Bombyx mori: one gene and its partner. The protein of the gene in region 1 binds, or shares a complex with, the protein of each later gene. Links are inferred from orthologs where the notes say so. Each region holds a gene or a part of one and is shown on either strand. Other genes may lie near its edges.

Region 1 (8,770 bases):
CTATTTTTTAGTTGGATTTTCTATAAAAGCGTATTTTGTTAGTTTTTTTTTACTATTATTTATTTTTCATTTTTTAGTTGAATTTCAATTTTTTCAATATTTTTTTTTTCATATTTTTTTTAAATATTGAATTGTCATCGATCCCTAATAAGTATACCAAATTTCGAGTTAATACGACATTTTGAAGGTAGTCGAAATCATGTTAAAAAATTCAGTTACATACTAACGTACATCTAAAGCTAATTAAAACGTATTAAAAATATATATATCTTATGTTTAGCTCCTAAGTTTTGACCACAAATGACGTAACCCAACCACGGGGGTCCACCCCCCCCCGGTCCCCGCACTGACCTCGCGGCCAGCTGCTTGTAGTACGCGTAGACCTGCTCGGAGAGCTTGTACACGAACTGATCGAAGCAGAGGTTGACTTCCGCCTCCACCTCGTCGTAGAGGAACTGCTTCTTGAAGACGGTCAGCGCGTACTGGGCCGAGTCGTTGTACAGGTCCAGCGGGTACAGGACGTATCTGAGGATATTACACATTAATGTTTTTATTGGGGTACCATTTTTTTTGGTGACAATTTTTTTTTATAAAATATTCCACTTTGAAAAGATAAAAGGAAAGTTAAAAAAATTAAAGAGCTACATAAAAAGATACATTAAAGTAATCAAAAATAATACATAAAAAAGGTAAAGTTAAAAACAGAACTACTTCAAAAAGATTCACTAAAATAATTAAAAATATACACTAAACTACAATACATAAAAAGATACATTGAAAGACCACTAACTCCATCATCGCCGGTTCTTTGGTCCTTAATATGTGCTCGGTCAATATCCATGGCATGGACATCTCGATGGGGAACTGTATCCGCTTCTCCATCGTGACCAGGTCGTTGCACTCCTCGTTGTGCTGATGACGCACCATGCATTTCTGTGAGGGTAGATAGATTTTTTTTAAAATTTTAATTCATACTTTATTGTCCTTCCTAATCCTATATGGCGAATTAACGAAAGGCAACTGTTAGGGTGGCAGTATAACAAGTTTGGTCCATGGACCGCGGTAGTCACTTAAAACCAGATCGGCTGTTTACTCAGAAAACTCAACAGAATGAAGCGGTACTTCACGTTTGTTCAAAGATATTTACTTTACAAAGCACAGAACCAGCCTCGCATGGAGTACTACTCCCATCTGAGGACAGAGGCTCCCAAGCGTCAGCTGAATTCAGCTGTTTCCATTTGACATCCAGAAGAGGATCCTACAGATTGACGATAGCCCTGTTTGAAAAGTCTAGGTCTAACGAAGGGCCTTCGGATTCATTTTTGTGTTCTGTACCGTGGGTACCATGGACAGTGCTCTGAGGATTATTTGAGATGATCCCTCGCATCACCTGTTTCCATCACAGGTGCTCCTACCAGATGCAGAGTTCATCCATACCACCTAAAGCCACTGCGTTCACCCACATTGCGTTTCCAGAGATCTTTTTTGCCTTAGCCTATCTGGCTTAGCTGTGCCCCTGGCATTGCTGAGGTCCAAGAGCGACAGTAGCCACTTATCGTCATGTGGACTCTATACTCGTCTGCCTATAAGAGTAATTAAAAAAAAACAGCAACAAAGTAGGGTAGGTACATAAATACTAATACTCACATTAACTTTCTTTCCCATTGTCATTTCGAGATAAAACTCTCTATACCAGAGTTGAGACAGATCGCAGCACTTCTGCAGGGAATCTGCGAGGACACAATGAATATCAAGCGCGGTACACATACGACTGTAAGCGATCCGCCCTCGAAAACGGCGACACACATTCAACAGAATCACCGTAGAACGTATAACTTAGTGATGTTTTCACGCAGCAAGTAATGTAATGCAAATATAGGTGAACACACGCGGGGTCGACGACCTCGCGTTAGTCCGCTTACATTGCGGGCTGTTTGTGTTCAGTTTATTAGTATCCGGATCAATAAAGGAACATAATTTATTATAGTCAATAATGTCTGACTCAATATGTATGTCAGTCTCTGATACCCATAAATTGGAATCGGAATCACAGTGCGTGATTTGTTTCCAGTTGTTTATTATTTTATTTATAATAATTCTAATTTACTGTTCCAGCGGTAAGTAGATCTTGGAAACGCGCCGGTAGATTTCATTATTACTTGAATATATCCTAAAAATGACTATAGTTTAGATTAAATTTAAATTTAAACTCGAACGAAGTTTTTTTTTTATTGCTTAGATGGGCGAACGAGCTCACAGCCCACCTGGTGTAAAGTGGTTACTGGAGCCCATAGACATCTACAAAATAAATGCTTCACCCACCTTGAGATATAAGTTCTAAAATTTCAGTATAGTTACATATAGATATCCATAATTTTGCAAAATTTTTGGACCAACTACGCTATACAATTTTAAACACACAAATGACGTATCACAAAATGGCGCCATCCTAGAAATACTCAATTTAGACTCACCAGGTAAGTTCAGCAGGTAGGACCAATAAAAGCTGGTTCTGTGGAAGCTTTCGATCTGATGCAGGGTGGCTGCGTCCAGGTCTTTCCGAAGAGTCCGCCGGCCTCCGGACTTGTCCGATATGAGGGCCTCAAGCTGCGTTCTCACCATGTAGAGCTGGGTCGATGAGGGACCTTCGAAGATTTAATTATTGGTGAGTATCAGCATGAGTACCAGCACTCTGCCTACTTCTGCCGCGAAGCTGTCGTCCTTGCCTTTTTGGAAAGTTGACACAACTGCGAAGACTCATGCCTCAAGGCATTCACGACATCTCACTAATATTATATGCGAAATTTTTTACCAGTGGTAAGACCTCTTGTGAGTCCGCACGGGTAGGTACCACCGCCCCGCCTATTTCTGCCGTGAAGCAGTAATGCGTTTCACCAAATGCGCCACCCACCTTGAGATATAAGTTCTAAGGTCTCAAGTATAGTTACAACGGCTGCCCCACCCTTCAAACCGAAGCGGACTCACAAGAGGTCCTACCACCAGTAAAACTGAACCAGTAGTACTGAAACGTCACAATTAACAATAAATCAATTGTTAGTTTTAATTATACCTTGCAATTAAATTTTGCTTAGCACTGTCCCCCGGTCCCCCCTTACCGACATTCCTTCTGGGCACCTTGATGGTGAAGCTGGCTTCGCCGTCCTTCTTCCCCTTGAGCGCCGGGTCCTGCTGAGGCTCGCAGCCGCGCGCCCAGTCACCACACGTCTCCCGAACCGACACTATTATGCTGTGGAAGACTTATAACTGTGTTTCCATACCTATACTCCATTCCAATTAAGAAGTCCCGTTTGACAGATGTTATTATTATTATTAATATTATTTTTCTCTATCTATGCTGATAGCGTTGAGAGGCTATTTCAGCGTAACCTTAACTATAGTAGAATTATTTTTTCCGTGCAGTTTGGGTCATAAAACACAGCCCGGCTAGGGCGGTGAGCATGTTGCGCGGGCGCAACGCCATTATCGATAAAAACAAATGAGTCATCGAAGGCAGGTGGCGGCGGGGTGGTATACGAAGGCTGGTGAGACATTGTTATGTTAAGAGCCATTTGTACTAAACCTGCAAATTATAGTACATTATGTAGAAGAGAAATATGTTTTTATGCATTCGTTCTCTGAATTTCTTTAGTGACACAATGGCTACTCCTTTGTTTTGTATCAAAACGGCAGGATTTATTCAAAATAATATTTGCACGTGTTGTTGTCAACAATGTGTTAAAATTTTTAACTGAAATAAGAATAGATCCCGAAAAGTTACAAAGTGTTAATTTCTGCCGTTCTCGTTAACTTGCTGCGGCGATATGTGGTGTAAGTGTTTGATTAGTGATTTTTTCTTTCATTTTTATCACTAACCCACAAAATGACAAAACTAAATACACTATCGATAACGCTTATCGACAACAGTAATGCGCATCACTATGCCCGTCCATAAGGCTCGTGAGTGGAAGAGAGAGCGAAATATTCGCTTCACCGCTCCGATTTTTCATGACCCAAACTGCACGGACAAAATAATTCTACTATAGTAGGTGAGCTCACGGGGCTCAAACCGGAGTGATGCTAACACTGGCCCTGGCAAGAGCAGTGCTTCGCTGAATCTACCACCAGATCGGAAACGCGACCCACTTAGAAGACAATGACAAGCCAATCCGTTACGCTCAATTGGACTTCAAATGGGGTACCTCCGGATGAGGTCCTTCTTGTTCTTGATGGCCTTCCTCAGGGGCTCCCGCAGGACGAGCTGCACGAAGTCCTGCAGCTCCGCGTATATGGACCTCCTGGCCGCGTCCGCGAACACGGTCTCCATCCGCGCCATCAGGACCTGGAGGCCCTTTATCATCGCGATCACCTCGATCATGGCGAACTTCTCCTCGGACGTGTAGTTGTAACGCGTCGCCTGTGAACACACGGTTTGAGGTCAGGGACGACTCAATATTGAGATCCCCTAAATGGGTACCGGGGCCCGTGGACATCTACAACGTAAATGCGCCACCCAACATGAGATATAAGTTCTAAAGATCTCAGTATGGTTACAACGGCCGCCCCACCCTTTAAACCTACCACCTACCTGGTGGTCCTACCACCAGTAATATTACCTACTACCATCAATATTGAGGTCGCATAAGTGGGTACCGGGGCCCGTGGACATCGTCAACGTGAATACCGTCAACCACATTGAGATAAGAGTTCTAAATTTCAATTCTATGTACTATTCTGTACTTAAATCCAAGATCTTAGAATTCGGTTGCGTCATCACTACCGATGACCATGGACATCAGAAGTGAATGCTACGTTTTAAGATAAAATGCTGTAATATTCTTGAATAACCTGAAATAGCACGATTACTTTATCATGATAAATGACATGCCTTGGGCAAAGTCATATATGTATATAACATGGTATTAGTATTTTATAGTGTTGATGAGATATAGTGCTAGCATAATATAGTGCCGGTATAAAGTAGTGCCGGTATAATAGGGTGCCGGTATAATATTTTTTTTTTATTGCCCTTGTAGGCAGACGAGCATACGGCCCACCTGATGGTGAGTGGTTACCGTCGCCCATGGACTTCAGCAATGCCAGGGGCAGAGCCAAGCCGCTGCCTACCGCTTAATACTCTCCACAAGGCTCGTTTGAAGAAGGACATGTCATAGCGCTCGGGAAACACCGTGGAGGGGAGCTCATTCCAGAGCCGGATGGTACGTGGCAAAAAAGACCTCTGGAAATGCACTGTGGATGACCGCAGTGGCTCCAGGTAGTATGGATGAACTCTACTCCGGTGGCGGGCGGTGCGATGGTAAAAACGAGATGCCGGTATCATCTCGAACAATTCCTCAGAACACTCCCCATGGAACATACGGTACAAAATACAGAGGGAACCGAAGTCCCTCCGCAGACCCAGAGATTCCAAATGATCCGTGAGACCGGGATTATCGACAATCCGAACGGCCCTCCTCTGTATGGAGTCAAATGGAAGAAGCTGGTATTTGGGAGCCCCGGCCCAGAGATGGGAGCAGTACTCCACGCGAGGCCGGACTTGTGCTTTATAAAGCAAAAGCCTTTGTCCAGACGTGAAGTACCGCTTCGCTCTGTTGAGGACTCCCAGCATTTTGGACGCCAACTTGGCTTTGCCTTCCAAATGACTCCGAAATTGGACATCGCTCGAAATGTCGACCCCAAGTATCCCAATACTCTCGGAAGGTTGCAGGGATACTCCAGGATATAGTGCCGGTATAGTATTATTATAGTGCCGGTATAATATAGTGCCGATATAATATAGTACTGGCATAATATAGTGCTGGCATAATATAGTGCTGGTATAATATAGTGCTGGCATAATATAGTGCCAGTATAATATAGTGCCGGTATAATATAGTACTGGCATAATATAGTGCTGGCATAATATAGTGCCAGTATAATATAGTGCTGGCATAATATAGTGCCAGTATAATATAGTGCCGGTATAATATAGTGCCGGTATAATATAGTGCCGGTATAATATAGTGCTGGTATAATATAGTGCTGGCATAATATAGTGCCGGTATAATATAGTGCCGGTATAATATAGTACTGGCATAATATAGTGCTGGCATAATATAGTGCCAGTATAATATAGTGCCGGTATAATATAGTGCCGGTATAATATAGTGCCGGTATAATATAGTGCCGGTATAATATAGTGCCGGTATAATATAGTGCCGGTATAATATAGTGCCGGTATAATATAGTGCCGGTATAATATAGTGCCGGTATAATATAGTGCCGGTATAATATAGTGCCGGTATAATATAGTGCTGGCATAATATAGTGCCGGTATAATATAGTGCCGGTATAATATAGTACTGGCATAATATAGTGCTGGCATAATATAGTGCCAGTATAATATAGTGCCGGTATAATATAGTGCCGGTATAATATAGTGCCGGTATAATATAGTGCCGGTATAATATAGTGCCGGTATAATATAGTGCCGGTATAATATAGTGCCGGTATAATATAGTGCCGGTATAATATAGTGCCGGTATAATATAGTGCCGGTATAATATAGTGCCGGTATAATATAGTGCCGGTATAATATAGTGCCGGTATAATATAGTGCCGGTATAATATAGTGCCGGTATAATATAGTGCCGGTATAATATAGTGCTGGCATAATATAGTGCCGGTATAATATAGTGCCGGTATAATATAGTACTGGCATAATATAGTGCTGGCATAATATAGTGCCAGTATAATATAGTGCCGGTATAATATAGTGCCGGTATAATATAGTGCCGGTATAATATAGTGCCGGTATAATATAGTGCCGGTATAATATAGTGCCGGTATAATATAGTGCCGGTATAATATAGTGCCGGTATAATATAGTGCCGGTATAATATAGTGCCGGTATAATATAGTGCCGGTATAATATAGTGCCGGTATAATATAGTGCCGGTATAATATAGTGCCGGTATAATATAGTGCCGGTATAATATAGTGCCGGTATAATATAGTGCCGGTATAATATAGTGCTGGCATAATATAGTGCCGGTATAATATAGTGCCGGTATAATATAGTACTGGCATAATATAGTGCTGAATAATATAGTGCCAGTATAATATAGTGCCGGTATAATATAGTGCCGGTATAATATAGTGCCGGTATAATATAGTGCCGGTATAATATAGTGCCGGTATAATATAGTGCCGGTATAATATAGTATTAGTATAACTTAGTATAATATAAGCAACGTTTCGTCTCTATTGGACGGACGGACAGAACGCACCCTCTCGTACTCCTCGGCTTCGGGGGGACACCGCGCGTTGATGGTGTGGTCCGTCGGGTGGAGCAGCTTCCACGAGCACAGCTCCGTGAGCACCGAGCACCAGGAGGACAGCAGCTGCAGGCCGCGCAGACAGAGCTCCGTCACCGCCTTGTTCTCGGAGTCCGAACCCGCCTCTTTGAAAGTGGTCGTCACCTGGAACACGCAGACATGGGAATGTTCTTGTTGCCTCACTGTTTTTTTTTTCCTACCTAAGCTGATAGCCTTGATAGGCTATATCAGCGTTGCCTTAACTAGTAGGTGAGCTCACGGGGCTCAAACCTAATGACGTTCCTAACACGAACCCTAGCAAGAGCCGTGCTTCGCAGAATCTACCACCGGCTCGGAAATGCAACCCACTGAGAAGATCCGGCGAGAAATTCAGTGTGCTGTGTCTGAGGGTTAATTTACTCGTCGAGCCCTTCGTCGCAAGCGACGGGTTCGACGAGAATGATGACCGGCCTCACTGATAAGCAGTGGTCGGTGTAGGTATATTGATTTTATATACTTGCGTCAAGATATTATAATATGGACATGCCATTTTATCTATAATGATTATATATAAAACTAAAAATAAAAAAAAAATAATCCTCATCGGATACAATTCGTGTATTTATGAGATAAAGTAACAAAAAGCCGTGTCTAAGTTTTGTCTCATATTGACAAGCGTCATTTCTAATTCAACGGAAAGGGACAAAATACGGTAAATATTCCAAGGTGTTTTTGTATAAAATAAATTACTGATTTCTTTCACCATTAGCTAGCACTGGTAGTGCAGATTAATATTATTAATACGTTTTTCACCTTAAACACAGATTCATGCTAATTTCAAAATTCCGGAACAAATATCAGAATAAATATGAAGTTCCGGTATTTTGGGGGCATATCCATATTATCCTCTACGTTTGACGTCAACGACCTTAAATCAATCTACCTACTCAGATCTCTACTGATAAGACAGCTTAATCTCCTGAGGTGCAATATCTCCACACGATACCTCGTTGCTGTACCGGGCCAGCTCGGATATGTAGTTCTGGTGCTCCTCCCGGATCTGGGGCAGGTGGACCATCAGGTCGGCCTGCGGCGAGGGCGGGTTGGGGCTCGAGGACAGGGGCCACCTGCGGCAACGAAGAGTTCACGTTCAGATTATATTCTTATGGGTGGACTGGCTCACTGATGTTAAGTGGTTACCCAAGCTAACGGCCGTAGGTTTAGATCAAAACTCACGAATACTTAAAAAAATATAGAATTATCACTATGAATGTGTTGGAATGTGTCTGATGTTTTGACTTGCATATAAATTACCTAAAGAGTTAAGTGAACTGAAGGGGTATATGACGGAGCGGGCTGGCTGGTTCCATGGGATATTTAAAATGATGACATCAGCATCGCTGACGCCTTTCTCTTCATCATGATCATTGCCTTCCATGGTGATAGTAATTAAGACT
Region 2 (9,240 bases), on another chromosome or scaffold:
CATGTTCTTGACCATATAAAACTTAAACTTTGTCATGAAAATTTTGCTATGTACTTAAAGGAATAGACAAGAATTGGTATTATTTTATTTTACACCATAGTCCTATGATCTGTTTGTGTTTAGTTTGTTATGTATTTACAAATATACTTCATTACTATTTTTTCCTCTCATATCGACTTGCTGAATATTCTTACAATTATTCAATACATTGCAACTACCGCTACATAAACATATTAAAAATTTATGAAAATTTTACATGAGAAGTTAACGGTACTTAAATTAATAACATAAGTGGAATATTCGCTGATCGATATCTAGCTTCCTAAGGCTAATAAATAAAATATTCTCTAAATATGTTAGCTTTCAATACAAGGAATATTTTCCAGTCTTAAATGTCAAGTGATTTTCGTGAAAATAATTAGGCTGAAGCACAATAAAAACCGGATAATAGTACTTATCAATAATCTCAAAGTGCGTCCGTGCTTGTATTTATACAGGGTGTATGGAATCTTTCCCAAAAACGAAGGCTGGTGCAAAATCCAAACATTTATTCCTTTACTGCTATTTCAGTCAAATAAACTGATGGAAGGGAACAGTGTTTCTTGTGATATTCACCTTTACATATAGATATGTCAAAATCTACCAGCACTTTTGTCAAGATGTTTACTTTATATTAAGTTTTTAGTGGATAATTATTGTTTTTAATTTCCATTAAGGTACTAGTTTCTTGCCCTTTTTGATTCAGAAACTGATCCCTTACACCCTGAATTTTAATAGTATATCTTTAAACCTAATTACAGTAATACTTAATGCTAAAACTTAATTTGTCTTTAAATACAATGGAATTACATATGCAGAAGCATCTGCTCTTGTTTATAAACTTCATGATAAGCATTACGTATCAATACATATGGAAAACATGACTCCAACAAATCCATTGTAAGAAAGGGTGACTCCTGCACTATCAAGTCTAATAGAAGATAAACTGATTCCCTATTCTTAGTAGCTTCTTTATCAGTTTCTTGCCCTAAACGAAGCAAAGATGATGACGCTAAAGCTAAGAATTCTTTCATTCGATCCTCGATATCGCCCTGGCCGCATATAGTGAATAGAGCTCCGAATATGTGGTTGATAGCTGGAGCTATACAGTGTATATTGTTAGCATGACCTTCCAGGGAAGGTCGATAGAAAGATACTTCACTCCGAGCTAGTCTAGGCAAAGACACAGCAACAAACACCATTAGCAAGCATACAATTAAATGCTCTTCCTCCTCAACTTCTGATTTTTGCTGACGTAAAGCTGATGCCAATGTTGGATCCACTTTGCACGGTAAGCCAGCAGCAGAACACATTTCTGAAATGACTCGCATTGGATCACCACTCGGCAGCTGTTGCTGGAAGTCTTTTATGGAACTTATCAAAAATGGAATACGCCTTTCTAAAACATCTAGTAATGACTCTTGAGCTATTTGTCTGAAACTCAATATGACTCCAATTATGGTCATCCGTTGTAGTACATTATCCACATTTTGCAATCTTTTGAACTGCTCTCTCATAATTTCTGGTTTATCAAAATTAGTCCTGAGCATCTGCAACACCTCTTTATTTTGTACAACCAGTTTCTTCAATTCCTGTACTTGACTTGCAATTTGCCACATTAGTGTTTCACTTAACAGTTTCATACCATAGGGCCCAATTAATTCAGCTAATGCCCTCAACTCATTAATATCAGAATATTCCTCGGCATTGAAGGGTATAGCACCTTCGGCTGTCAAACTAACAAATGCTTTTTGACTCATTGAAAAACAAATACTACCAGCACTGACCCGTCTCAGTAAAATCTCAGAGTACCACTGTGTATACAATGATGCAATGGTTTTTTCTTTATGACTATCCATATTTTGAGTTTGTTGTAAAAGACAATTATTGAAAACTCGTGTAATATCAATATGAACGTAATTTTCAACAGTTTGAAGCACATTCATATATGCACGAACACTAACAAGCAACTCAGAAGGCTTAGCAATTTCACTTGTGTCTTGGTTAAACATTACCATGCCAACCAAGGCCTTAGAGAATCTAGTTTCCAAATGTTGGTGCAAGTACTCTCGTGGTGCAAAAGTATACTCCCAAACATTTACAGTGGAACAATAATTTATAGCATAGCATAATTCTGTCAAAGCCATGTGAAGTTTGTCCATGGTTGTCAATTCTTCTCTGGTTTTTCTGTAACTTTCTGCTCCAGGCTTAACAATTTCAATTGTGTTTTTCTTATTTTTATCCTTCTTTTTTCTGTTAGCTAAATGAGCTATAGTTTGTGCACAATGTTTGGGTAGTAATTTATCACTCATAGTACACTGTTCATCACATATAGTGGTGATAATGTTTTTTGCTTCTTTTGCCATTTCATCCAAGAATATGTTGACTACTGACAAACTTCTCTCTAGAATGTGATGCCTCTCTTCAGGGCATAGTTCATGAGTACAATTTTGGAAATGACTACAAATAAGCGGGAATGCTATAATATACCGATTTTGTGCAGGGAACTCAAGACACATATGGAACTGATTTTCAAATATTTTGTTGTAAAAGCAAAATATTGACAGATCAGATGTTTCAACCATTATTTCATCAAGGTTATCTACCATTTTAGTATGGAATACCATTTTGTCTATAAACTGAGCCAGTTCCCTTTGATCAACAAGACTCAAGGGGGTTTTGACAACAGATGTATATGCTTGAAGTCTGAACCAATCTAAACGGAATGATCGAAAATCAAATGGCTCATTCTCTTCAACCTGTTTGACACTCAAATTTGCTGCAGTAGTACATAAAGATGATAATATTATACTTTCGTCTTCAGGACATACCTTCAAGTTCTGAATCATCATGTTCAATGCTACAGCATCAAAGCCTGAAAGGTATTGCACATAGTATCTCTGCATTACCTGACTATATTTACGAACCAATGCTCTTAATTCTTCCATGTGGAACAAAAGTTCAGGAAGTTGACGGTCTACCAAATCTTCTGCAGATTTTCCCTTCACTTTTTGTGGTGGGTTATCATTATGTCGCAACAGCCAAAATACTTCATCTCTTGCATAGCAGAGGCCAATGAAAATCAAAAGAGCTTTTGGGCCCAATAATCCTGGTTGATCAGTCAATATTAGACCCAGTTCTTTCAAAGCTGTTCTTAAGAATTTTCTCCTCTCTCTGTGTTTGTATCCTGCTTTTTGTACTGCATGATGGTAACAATCTTTTACTTCAGATATTCTTTTGCCATAGCCTTTTATGCTGTCAAAGAAACCTTGTATATAGCTGTGAATGTAAATCACTTCATCTCTAAATAATGCCACAACCCATCCTGACTCTAGTGCATTGACCCACATTTTATTAGCATGGTCCTGCTGGAGCATCTGATGACAGAGTGCAAAACCAAATATGACCCACCTCTCCAAAGACTCCAATGATACATACTCACAAGACATTGTGTTTGTTTCTGATGGTTTCAGTAACTGAGCTGGATTACTGACTAAGCTTAGCTTTTGCTCCGATCTCCAATGTTCAGCAGAAAGATTTCTAGCTGGATACACATGCCATAGAGAATTTAATGCACTTGCTAGTACTTTTTGATGTGGCACAAATTCTTCAGACAATTTCTTCAATGGAGCATCATAATCAACAATCAACTGTCCCAAACGGGGAAAACTATTCTCAATTTGATTCTGTAGCAATTCATATGCAGCATTAAATAAACCTAACACTGCTTTTCTATCTTCAACTCGAGACAACAATATCATTAGTGTAACATATGTTAAAACCAAGTCAAGATAGTTTTTTGTCAATTCAAAATTCAATGTCAAGTCTAAAGTAACCTGACATGCATCTATGATGTTAAGAAGTTCACAAACATTGTCTTTAAAATCTAACAAATCTACAAATGTGTAATAATATAGCGACAATGATTTGATTACTTCATTCCGTATTGGTGTAATTGCTTGGAGTCCTTTAACGTCAATGTTGGGAAATCTCCTAACTATGTGCTTAATTGATGACTCCAATGCTTTATCAGATAGAAATGCTGGTTTCGATTTGGCATCTCCACAGGCTTTCTTAATGTTGTAAACTCTTGTTAAAATACCAATACCTCTGTCATTCAGTATAATTAGCTTCTCAGCTAATTTTTGCTGACTAATATTCAGGGATCTTGATAATGTGGACATATTTCTGCAATAAAAAGGTACGCGGATTCACAACTATGAAAGATAATGATAATACAATAATGTTATTTCCTATCTATTAGAATTACACAACTTAGGATTTCCGTTCAAAGGGGAATAACAAATTGTTGCTGTATTCATTCGAGAAGATGATCAATGATGTGAGATCATGATTTACTAAGTCAAGATATCTAACAAGACCAGATAATGTTTTATGTTAATAACCGCGCGAGCCGTACCTTGCTAATAATGTAGCGAGTCACTTTATCTAGAAGTCAACTAATACACATGTTTCTGTGTACACTATATTCAAACTATCTATGTTGGACGTAAAAAATCTCTCAATAAATTAAAATTAGGGAGTGTCAGACCACAACATATTAAGTGTATAATCTATGACCACAACAGACTGTTTAACATAGATTATTTTTAAGGGATTTTATGACCTGGTAACTAAGACCTTTAGGTCATGTCTTATTTTAATTTATATTCTTAATTTTACATATGAAAATTGATAATATGGAGTGAAAGGAAATCAAGATGACTAACTTGAGACATTAAATAACGGGGATGAAATTAAATGAAATGATATGGGATGCAATATAATTTCAGTAAAATGGTGGTCATTTACTGAAATTTTTTCAGTGGACTTTTTGGAGGATCCCTCGAAGTTACCTCCAGCGGCTTTATTTCATTTTCATTAATTTCATTATTACATAATAATATATAAACCTGAAGAAACATTAAATAGAGAAAATAAAACAATTCACACAACTTCACTCCTTGCGTTCCCGCCAAAAAGTCACCACTATAATTGTATTTTTTTTAAGGGATTTTATGACCTGGTAACTAAGACTTTTAAGTCATGTCTTATTTTAATTTATAATATATTTTTATGAAAAATGATATTATGCAGTGAAATGAAATGAAAAAGTTTTTTTGAGACATTAATCAACTGGGATGAAATTAAATGAAATGAGATGAGATGATATGGGATGAAATATAATCTCAGTAAAATGGTGGTCATTTACTAAGATTATTTCAGTGGACTTTTTGGAGGATCCCGAGAAGTTACGTCCAGCGGCTTTGTTTCATTTTCCCACATTTGTGCACTTTCACAGATATTAAACGAAATTAAATGAAATGAGATGAGATGATATGGGATGAAATATAATCTCAGTAAAATGGTGGTCATTTACTAAGATTATTTCAGTGGACTTTTTGGAGGATCCCGAGAAGTTACGTCCAGCGGCTTTGTTTCATTTTCCCACATTTGTGCACTTTCACAGATATTAAACAGTTAATAAACCACCATTATTACACATTTAAACCTGAAGAAACACTAAATAGACAAAATAAAACAAATCACACAACTTCACTCCTCGCGTTCCCGCCAAAAAGTCCACTATAATTGTATCTTGTCTCACTCACACAGATTACTACTCTCGTCGGCTATATTTTTTCCGTAAGGCAATCGCCTTCTTGCGATGCCTTTTTTGGGAAGGAAGTACTACTGGTGGCCCGGAGGCGTTTCCAGTTTTACCAAGACATGTGGGTGACCACAGACTTAACCAAGAATGATGGGATTTGCTAACAGCTGCCCGAGCGCCTCCGGAGGAGACTTAACAAATCAAAGACAACTACTTCGCGAATGAATCTACTACCGCATTGAAATCGCGGCTCCCTGAGAAGACTCGACAAGAAACTCAGCGGGCTGGGGCGGTTGGGTTGCACGCCGAACTCTCTGCCGAGTTTGACCAGTCGGTAGAGCACTTAAGCTGCTCCCAGTGCTAATTAGAATTGAAGGGGCTTAATGCTAGAGTTAATGTATCTGTTAAATGCGTAAGGACGTTTTCGATACCATTATTACTGGCGTCGAGTATAAATAGTCTGCAATTTTAACGTGACACATTTAACTTTTTTCAAGAAGAATGAAATGAAGCGGACTAAAAGAAGTTGTTTCATCTGTAAATGGTAATCAAAAGGGATGAAATTTTATGAAATAAAAGAATTTAATTCCATTAAAATCAGATGACATGAGGAGAAATCTTGTAATGTGTGTTACTGAGACTTCAGGTAGGACAGGAGTACAAAAAATGTTTATGGTTTGTGTATAGTCTACAGAAGTTTGTGTCATATACAGAGTGTCCCAGAACTCAACATCTAGCCGAATCGGGGTGACAGGATTGATTGTAACCATGCGTTTGTTATCAGCAAATGTCCCTACACGTAAATTCAACAATTCCTGAATCACGGTCATAAGATGTCACACAGTTGATAGATGTTCTCGTATTTCTCTTGCTAAATCAAAAGAATGGAAAGCAGTCGACATCACCCCAAACACGTCATTTCGGATCCTCCCGATCCACTAACGGTGCTTTTAGGTACCTCAAGCACCGATCACCGTTCCCGTCGAACCCGTCGCTTGCGAGGAAGGGCTCGTCGAGTAAATTAACCCTCAGACACAGCCCACTGAGTTTCTCGCCGGATCTTCTCAGTGGGTTGCGTTTCCGATCCGGTGGTAGATTCTGCGAAGCACGGCTCTTGCTAGAGTTCGTGTTAGCAACGTCGTCAGATTTGAGCCCCGTGAGTTCACCTACTAGTTAAGGTTCTGCTGAAATAGCCTCGCAAGGCTATCAGCTTAGGTAGGAAAAAAAAAGCTAAATCATACTTACCTGGCGTAGGGATACCGTGATTATGCAGGCGGTTTCCACAGGGTGAGGCTGCTCCATTGCACTGCGGGTTGGTTGATTCTTGCGATTATTTTAATTTTTATAAGTTTCACTTCTACCGTGTCACACGTAATGTGTGTGACATGCACACACACATTTTTTTCTTCTGATTTTTCTCATGATGGCTTTTTTTTTCTTTTTTTTTTTGGCTTAGATGGTTGGACGAGCTCACAGCCCACCTGGTGTTAAGTGGTTACTGGAGCCCATAGACATCCACAACGTAAATGCGCCACCCACCTTGAGATACAAGTTCTAAGGTCTCGAGTATAGTTACAACGGCTGCCCAGCCCTTCAAACTGAAACGCATTACTGCTTCAGGGCAGAAATAGACAGGGCGGAGGTACCTACCCGTGCGGATTCACAAGAGGTCCTAACACCAGTAATTACGCAAATTATAATTATGCGGCTTTTATTTTTATTACACGATGTTATTCCTTCACCGTGGAAGTCAATCGTGAACATTTGTTGAGTACGTATTTCTTTAGAAAAATTGGTACCCGCCTGAGATTTGAACACCGGTGCATCGCTCAACACGAATGCACTGGACGTCTTATCCTTTAGGCGACGACGACTTCATATGAGAAAACTTGGGGCAGTTGTGTCATTATTTTTGAGTGCGGTTCTAGAAATGTTATGTAGGGTTACGGTTCCAAAGTTTAAATGAACAAAAATAACAAAAATTAACCACAATAACCGAAAAATGGTTAAAGTTTGACCAAATTTCTAGGTTTTTAATGGCCATAATTTCCAAACTGGATGGGATAGATTTTTTTTCTGATTTTTCTCATGATGGTTACAATCAATCCTGTCACCCCGTTTCGGCTTGACGTTGAGTTCTCACACACCCTGTATAGTTTAACAAATAAGATATGACCTAAAGGTCTATGTTACGTTAGGTCATAAAATAAAAAATATATATATTGAAATTTTTATTTTACCTATATCTTGTGTATGTATTGTCTATGGATTAAAGGCTATATGGGCTTAGATCCCCTTGCCTTTCCTAATAAGGAAAATTTGTACAAAAAAAAATGTCGATGGATTATAGAATTTAGATTTCATTGATTTATCCTTACATCTCAATTTATTAAATTTTCGCTAAATGGAGACGTTTTAATGAAAATTATTGCATATTTAAGTAGTAGTTATTCAAATTTAATTGATTTCATTTATTTATAAGCTGAATAAACACTATCCAACATGCCCCGGATTATGATAAAAGGTGGCGTTTGGCGCAACACCGAGGTTTGTTATTTTACTATTTTGTATTCTTTATTAATACTTTCTTATGATTCCTTAATACTAATGTTATTTGTGTGTCACTTTAGGATGAAATCCTTAAAGCGGCTGTAATGAAATATGGGAAAAATCAGTGGTCTCGTATAGCTTCGTTGCTCCATCGTAAATCTGCAAAACAATGTAAAGCCCGTTGGTACGAGTGGTTAGATCCAAGTATAAAGAAAACAGAATGGTCCCGAGAAGAGGACGAGAAGTTGTTGCACTTGGCCAAATTGATGCCAACTCAGTGGAGGACCATTGCTCCTATCATCGGACGTACTGCTGCACAATGTTTGGAAAGATACGAATATTTGTTGTAAGTAATTAATTATCTTGTTAAGTTTGAGTTCCTTGTATCTAATAAAACAGAGTAAAGTAGTTAGGTTTGGTTTCAATCACTCACATAGGTATCTGAAAAAGTTGCTTTGGTGTTAGCATCAATAATTAATCACACTAAACAAATCAGGCAACAGTAAGCAAGATAGATAGTGTAGAACTAGAGATCTGAATTGACCATCTTGTAGTTTGTGTGATGATTAAATACAATTATTTTAATATTCTAAATAGACAGATGGGGTTCATAGACATCATAATGTGAATGTGACTGCCATACAGCTTTAGAAATAATGTGGAAATCAATTGTTTTATGCAACGGCTATCTCGCTTTTCAAGTTTAAAGCATTCTTCTTTCAAGCATATTTTCCAGTTTAAAAATGCTGGATCTTCGGCAAATGGAACAGAAATGGAACAAAAACACAGGTTCACAACACAATCTGTCAGACCACAGATGCTTATCTATGAATATTATAAAATTCTGTAAACTCCTTTAATTCTCATCTAGAGACCAAGCCCAAAAGAAAGAGGAAGGTGAGGACATGGGTGATGATCCACGTAAGCTGAAGCCTGGTGAGATTGATCCTAATCCAGAAACAAAACCTGCTAGACCTGATCCAAAAGATATGGATGAAGATGGTAAGCAAATCATATTTGAAAAATCATTTAGTCTTTTA

What was found.
Region 2: cytoplasmic FMR1-interacting protein (region 1) and membrane-associated protein Hem share a complex: the UniProt entries of both Drosophila melanogaster proteins name them as parts of the WAVE complex. The link is inferred for Bombyx mori from reciprocal best matches to the Drosophila melanogaster genes Cyfip and Hem.

The regions. Positions count from the first base shown.
Region 1 is NC_085117.1:1,821,363-1,830,132, forward strand, and holds part of cytoplasmic FMR1-interacting protein, read right to left. Parts: intron 8,441-8,770; coding exon 8,320-8,440; intron 7,479-8,319; coding exon 7,287-7,478; intron 4,415-7,286; coding exon 4,200-4,414; intron 3,248-4,199; coding exon 3,117-3,247; intron 2,646-3,116; coding exon 2,475-2,645; intron 1,731-2,474; coding exon 1,648-1,730; intron 934-1,647; coding exon 791-933; intron 526-790; coding exon 352-525; intron 1-351. UniProt on the Drosophila melanogaster protein: Plays a role in guidance and morphology of central and peripheral axons and in synaptic morphology. Also required for formation of cell membrane protrusions and for bristle development.
Region 2 is NC_085115.1:11,705,389-11,714,628, forward strand, and holds the start of membrane-associated protein Hem, read right to left. Parts: upstream 4,628-9,240; 5' UTR 4,460-4,627; intron 4,228-4,459; 5' UTR 4,224-4,227; coding exon 846-4,223; 3' UTR 1-845. Other genes in the region: cell division cycle 5-like protein, read left to right, coding at 8,153-8,197, 8,281-8,546, 9,072-9,202. UniProt on the Drosophila melanogaster protein: Plays a role during growth of the oocyte.